Linked DNA regions of Sus scrofa. The protein of the gene in region 2 interacts with the protein of the main gene of each other region in a biochemical or structural test. Links are inferred from orthologs where the notes say so. Each region holds a gene or a part of one and is shown on either strand. Other genes may lie near its edges. The genes, in order: ASF1A and TLK1.

Evidence for each region.
Region 1: of the proteins of TLK1 (region 2) and ASF1A, one has a biochemical effect on the other in vitro, tested with the Homo sapiens proteins (3 studies listed by BioGRID). The link is inferred for Sus scrofa from reciprocal best matches to the Homo sapiens genes TLK1 and ASF1A.

What each region holds. Positions count from the first base shown.
Region 1 is NC_010443.5:43,199,646-43,202,558, forward strand, and holds the end of ASF1A (histone chaperone ASF1A), read right to left. Parts: intron 2,466-2,913; coding exon 2,253-2,465; 3' UTR 694-2,252; downstream 1-693. UniProt on the Homo sapiens protein: Histone chaperone that facilitates histone deposition and histone exchange and removal during nucleosome assembly and disassembly.
Region 2 is NC_010457.5:77,326,489-77,330,856, forward strand, and holds the start of TLK1 (serine/threonine-protein kinase tousled-like 1), read right to left. Parts: upstream 3,061-4,368; 5' UTR 2,463-3,060; coding exon 2,324-2,462; intron 1-2,323. UniProt on the Homo sapiens protein: Rapidly and transiently inhibited by phosphorylation following the generation of DNA double-stranded breaks during S-phase. This is cell cycle checkpoint and ATM-pathway dependent and appears to regulate processes involved in chromatin assembly.

The DNA.
Region 1 (2,913 bases), on a different chromosome or scaffold from region 2:
AGATATTAGAATATATGGCACACAGTAAAGTGACTATAAGGGTACATTTTCATGAAAGTTGTTAATATAAATACATAATTGTGTTATGAGGTCATACTTTAATTTTTTTTTTAACCATGAATTGCAGTAAAAAGTTTTGAAAACTCCTGACAAACACCCTCTTGGTAAAACTAGAAACTCCAAATCTTAAAACCTGAGGGTAAGACCACATGGACACATAAGGTTATATAAGGTTATGAATGAATGAATGAGTTTTTCTCAGACTTCTGATTGTTTTCTCAGCTGAGTGATATTCTCATTCCCTCTCACCTATGCCTGTCTCTCTTGTGGCATAAGTAATTTGTTCATGTTTATCTTCTCACAGCTATTAAGTATGTTCAAAAAGGGAAAAACGGTTCTAAACTTTCTAGCTATAATTCAGACAGCATCTATAAATGAGGCTAAACAGGAAAAATAAAATCTGTATGTTAGTTTCTTCCTTCCTAATGTTTAAATACTAAATCTTTACATTTTAATTATTAAAATTACCTTATAGAACCATGAAAATTTTAAATGAGATACTCATTTTTAAGTCTTAAACATATGTGAAAATTGGCTGTCAATTTACAAATTGATTAAAAACCTAACACTCTGATGCTAATACAAACCAATCATAATTAATAAGAATAAAAACTCAGCAATGAATTGACTTGGTAATTTGGCTTATATATGCTTTATTTCTAATAAGCACATATTGTGTTCCTGTTATATTAATCACTAAGCTCTTGGTTGGAAATATTACTTTTATTTTCATTTTAATATGTAAACATTTTCTTTTAATTGCAATTAGACAAAAATGAAATTTTCTTTATATTGTTTTAACAGTCGGATGTATTTTTACTTTTAAAGTCTGTGAACTAGTTAGTGGACAATATTTTAATCTGGCATATTAAATTTTTCAAAGTTTAACATTTAGCAAAATTTTGCTTCACAAAGTCACTTTTTAGAATGACAGGAAATATATACAACTTAGAATCCATATTCAGACAAATGCCCCTTTCCCTTCCTCAAAATAAAAGCTTTAAAAAGTGCAGTATAAAAGTTTTAGATATGAAGGCACTGCATAACTCTGCATCATATGGCTGTTGCTCAGCAGCAAAAATAATGAGAATATTCTATACTTAATTTAATGGAGCCTAAGAAACTTTGAGGAAGGACCTAGCTCTCATCAGAGAAAAAGAACCTTTTGGCCCATTTAGTTAATGCACTCCTTGCTTTTAAGAGACTTATCTGGAAAAGCTACCTAGACTATGTCAACCACAAAGATGCCTAATCTTACTGTGCATGAGTGTCGGGGGATGTGGAGACAAGTACTACCTGTGAAAATACATATAGTTCCAAAATAGTAATGTATCTATTATCATAAAGCTTCATAGATCTTTCCAAATCCACTGTTTTTTATATAAATAGTGCCAACAACAGATGACCTATCAAAACAGTTTTAAAGAGTTAAGTTCATAGTATTTTTATAAATCTAATGAATAGGATCAAGTCATTATACTCTTCTATTCTTAAAACTTAGGGAGTTTGTATCTGCTCTGGACAGGTAATAACAATGTATGATTCAAGGAGTGTTCTGATGTCCTCAACTGTTACAACAACAAAAAATCATAGCCAGGGGACCTTATAAACAATTAACAGTACATGAACTGAATAGTATTCATGAGAGGTTTCAAGGTGGCCTGGAAAATCAGATCCTAAAGTTCTTGGTAGCATACAGTTGACTTCAAATCCCTTCTTTAAGGACATGCTGAGAAAAGAATGGAAAGTTGCCCCTTAAATCAAACCAAATTATGTGTTATCACGGGAAGACACATTTTAGCTGAAATGAACTTTGTTCTTTCAGAGGTTTGCAAAATAGTGGTCCAAAGAGTATTGTCCAAGAGGCTAAGACATTTCTACAACCTGGTCTAATGATTCATTTTTCTTTATAAGTGCTTTAATTACATATAGAGGAGAAGAAAATAATATATATGTTTTAATCAGATTAGTTTCAGAACAAATAAAATAACACATTAGAGAAAAAAATTACTTAAAAATAGTTGTATTTATATTCCACAATTTGCTCAAATACTGGTTTTCTTATAAACTTTCTACAGGATGTTTTAAAACAAATTCTTCACATTGTATCTTGACTATGTACTTACGGAATTTCAGGGAAATAGTTCTGTGTGTTTTAATAGCTTAATTTGTACTAAAGGGATGGCGGGTGGTCACATGCAGTCCATGTGGGATTCTAACATGACATTTAGTGAGTTTTCTGACGTGGACCATCCCTTTGATGCTGAAGGTAATGCATCTGTTGAAAGAAGTGATTGTAGATTTGGATTACTGCTCTCTGGATCTTCCAGTTTCTCTGTGTTATCTTCCCAGTTAATGTGGAATCTTGTGACTCGGGGATTTGATGCCAAAATATTCCTTTGAAGCTACAGGAAGAAGGAAACATATAAATGGTAAACGCTAAGAAAGTTAGATAACTATATACAAATAGACCTTAATAAGAATGGTTCTTTATTTAGTACTCCTAAGGACTAAGTTCACATACAGAGGCAAAAGTCAAAGCACCTTAAACATAACTAATAAATAAGGACCAGGGCTGCAGCAAGGAAATTACTCTAGCCTAAAGGAAACTAGATATGGAGGACCTGAGGGAATTATCCAGATCTTTTTCTTAATCCAACATAACATCCAACTCTATACTTGTTTCCTAAAAGGAAGCATATCTCTTGAATGCTTCAGAGGAAACTTTATTTAACAAATTAACATGCTTTCTAGCTTGATGTTGTGTTTCTTCAGTAAAATTTCCAAGGAAAATGAAAAATTTTTCCAAATATAACCTCTCATTATTAATGGTTTTCTACCTTTTAATTATTA
Region 2 (4,368 bases):
ATTTACATCAATTTATCCAACATACTAACATGTATATCTGGAAAAGATGCTAAGCACTTGTTAAAATAAAAACTGGGACCCTGCTCAATACAAAATATTTCCATCTTGATACCTGGGGCTTCACATACGCAATTCCTACTAGCATTAGTGAAGTGTGAAACTATAGCTTCAAGATGAATATATAACCCTAGGGAGAATTAACAGTTTTAACGTACTTCCTGGTTGGTCAAAAAAATAAATATACCTCTGTGACCATACAGGTACTTGAACATGAAGTGTAATGTCCACAGACCATGCTTTGTTATTTCATTAATAGAGGCTCACTGTCTAGGTCACATAAAAACCTATTTGTAATCCAAATTACTAGAAACTACTTCTGGTTATTTGGAAGGTCACATGAAATAATTCCAATCCCTCAAAATTTTCAAACATTAGGAAAACCGTAGAATAGTATAGAAGTTTTTAACTAGGGCTGAAGTCACCTTGGAAACTCAAGCTAGATTGTGCAGCTCTAAAATTACTAATACTGACAATAGACGTCACAGATGAAAAATTCAACGCTGTGTCCTCAGTATCTAGTACAGCGCCTGGCTCACAGAAAATGGCTCAATAATTATTCAAGAAACGAATCAATGAAAAAAGATACATAGTCTTTTTAAAAAAAGTCTCTCCAAGACTATTATTTAGTATCACTCATTACACCACCACTCATAATAACACTATCATTAAGATTCTTAATGAAAGTACAGACAAAAATAAAAGCTTGCTTAAAGAACCAAGTGCTGTTTACAAAACAGATTTTAAAATTCATTTACAAATTTTCAAGGGCAGAAAGAAAAATCACTTAGGGGTACTAAATTTGAGTTAGTCAATAAATAAACTTTTATCTTCTAATATTCAGAACTCAAGGTTGGGGGTGACATGGAAAGGGGAAATGTCTGTCAATGTATTCAGCAGGCTTAATGGATGCCATAAATCAAGGCTTCCCATGAATTTTCTAGAGGAAATTCATGCCAATCTTTGAGCCTATTGTCACTTTCACACATGCTCACAGGAACAAAATGACAAAGAATGCTACGCCTGAACCACTGGATTCAAGGCACAAAACACTTGATTAACAAATGTCAAGGCTCTGAGTTGTAAATACTGACAGATATTTTCAAATAAATTAATCCCACTGACTCCAACATAAATTAAAGCCCCTGGTATCTTTAAAGATTCACCGGACTACGGACTTCCAAACGCTTTTTTGAAAATGTGGCTACAATCTCCCTGTGTGACACTAAGGGAGCGAACATCTCATTTACCAATTGCTGATAAATACCGCTAAGCGTTTTACAAACAAAAAAGCGTTAAATGCGATTCCACGCACATTTATTTTTCCGTCATAAATGTTTGTGCTCTTTCACATTTCATTTTATGTGGTATACTTAAAGTTAAATACAGCAAGTTGACATTTTAGTCAAAAGCACTCTGCTGTCTTACTAGCTGTGTAACTGCTACATCTGGTGGCGGCACACTGGCATGCAAGAAGCCAGAAAACTTAGAAAACAATTGTAACCGATCTGGTGCGTGTTTGCAATAACCTTTACGCAGATATTTCCCACAAACCCCCCGATCCTGTCAGAGAAGAACAGTAGCCTACTCGCTGGAGAAATAATGCACAAACACGCAGGAGGTGATGGCGAAGGAGAGAAAGTTGCAACCATCTGGAGGAGTGGGTTTAAAAGCCTGCCCACGAATCAGTCTGTCGTTTAAACTGCTCTCGGGGGCCAGGCAGGGGATCAAAGTCGGCTCTAATAATTTCAGCGCCTCTCCCCGAAAGGCAGAGACCTTGCAAGCAAGGGGCATCCTCCAGGTCCCGGGCAGCTAAGCTCGCAGAGCGGGGACCGCCTCTAGGGGAGGAGTGCGGGAGGGAAGGGGAGGGGGCTCGAGGATGAATGCTTCACCCAGAGGGAAAACCCACCAGAGACCGGAGGCCAGGAGGTTAAGAGTACTGAGTGTGCGAGCAAATGGAGCAGAAAGGGGCTCGCGTCCGGGGGGAGACCGCCCACCCCAGCAGGACGGGCTCTTAAGGAACCCAGGCGAATCTGCGCGCCTCGCCTCGCCCCGTCCCCACCAGCGCGCACCCCCTACGTCCGTTTCCTCCGCCGCCCGCGAACCACCACCCACAGCCGGAGCACTATCTCCCCGAAGCCTGGCGGCCCCGCGTACACCTCGCCCCCATCCCCCACCCCAGGGTCGGGGAAAGGAGAACTGAGGGCGCGGGGGCCGGGAGCGGGAGGGGAGACCCGCGAGCGGGCGCGGGCGCGACGGCACTTACCTTCCCTGGGCCTCCCGGATGGCGGCGTGTGATTCAGCAGGGACCTGGCCGCCGCCGCCGAGCCCGGGGTTGGAGACGTGGAGAGCTGGGACCAAGATGGCGGCCCCTCCAAACTTCCACTGCTACTTTGGACACTCATCAAGCTACTTTCTGGGAACCCGACTCCCCCCCTGCGACGGCAGCAGCGGCAGCACACCGGCACCCGCCTCCGTCATGGCGGGGGCCGCGCAGAGGGCGAGCGAGAGAGCGAGGGCAGGGAGGGGAGAGTCAAGGGGATGGGGGGGAGGAAACCGAGAAGGAAGAAGGTGGGGAGGGTAGAGGTGAGGGGAGGAGAGGGGACGGGGAGGAGGAAAAGGGGGAGAAGAGAGGGAGCCGGCGGGCGCGCTGGGGAAGAGGCGGAGAGAACGAGCGCGGCGGCAGAGGCGGCGGAGGCGTCGAGGGGGCGCCCGCCTGGGCCGGGGTCGGAGCGCGGGCGGAGCGCCGGCTGCGCCGGCCGAGACTTCCGCGGGCGGAACCTGCCGGCACCTCTGCAGTGCGTCGGCCCCGGCGTCGCCCGGGTGGCGGCGGCAGCGGCGGCGGCGGGCGATGGGTGGCGGCTGAGACGGCAGGGTAACCTCTGCATCAGTTACAGGCGGCGGCGGCGTCACGCGCCGCCTGTGCAAACACTATCGCGAGGCTCCCGCGCCTCCGGTAGCGGCGGCGGCGGCGGCGGCCGCGGGAGCAGGCTTGGGGGAGGGACCTGCCAGGGGTTGGGGGCGGGGGGAGTGGGGAGGGAACGAGCTAGCGAGGGAGGAGACGCGGGCGACGGGTGCCCCTGGCGCACCCGCGGATCACTACGAGGCGCGGGAGCCGGGGGCTGGCGGACTGTCGTGCGCCGAGGCCGCTTCCCCGCGCCCGCCGGGAGAAGGCGCGCCCCGCACGCGCCCCCGCCGCGCTGCACCGGCTACCGTTCCCGCGCCCGCTCCGCTGCCACCTGACTGCCCCTCTCTCCCGCGGAAGCGCGCCTGGCTCCAGACCCACACCCAGCCTGGGGAGAAATGCTTCAGCTCTCTCTAGGCTGTCGTTTCGCAGGAGTTCGATGTGATCATTTCTCAAAATGGAACTGAAAAGTTGAGAGTTGCTTCTTTCTTGTCTCTCTGTACCGTGCAAACAAAAAAAAAAAAACCAAAAACTTGTGTGCGTTTCCCTGTCTGCAGAATGGGAGTGATTACTGAATGAAAGAGCTAAGAAAATAAGTTAGGGTGGGGATGGAAGTAAAACTTTATGAATGTTTTCCAAAAAGAATCTTTATCCGCATTGTGCATTGTATGTGTGGTCTAGCAGTTCTTTGTTTAAAAACAGTAGGTGGAAAATCTACATAGAAAATTTTGATCACTGAATTCACATATTTAGGGAAACCATCCAGGGTTCATCTTCTGAAAGGTTATGTTTTCTAGAAAGTTCCAGTGCCGCTGCAAATTCCCGAAGCAAATTAGAGCATTTGCTAAAATTTATAGAGTGTAACTTTCTATAGACCCACACAGAGATTGGGCATCTTATACAGAAAAGAGCAGTCTAATGGTTCAGGAAAAATACAGCAAGGTTATTGGTCTCTTTAAAAATACCAAGTTGAGTAGAACACTAAAAAGATTATGATATAAAGCAACTGTATGAGCATGAGGAAATGGCATGATTACCAGGGGGACAAAAATGTCATTTCTATTTTTTATTTTTATGACTTTGCATTTCTCCTAGTAATGTTTTGTTCAGATAAACTATCATACTAGAATAGAACCATGGTTGTCAGTTATCTCCAGAAGTAATTTTAGTTTTCTTATGCTTCAGGTTCTTCAGTGAGTTTTTAGTCATGTACTGTTTTTCAAAGTTAAGAAGTACATCTCACAAATTAAGCAACTTTAGTGAGGTATAAGTAACATACAATAAACTGCACATATTTTAAGTCTACAACTAGCTAAGTTTTGGTGTGTACACAACCCTGAAACCATTTCTACAATCAAGATAGTGAATATATCCATCAACCTCCAAAATTTTCTCTACTCCTTTAT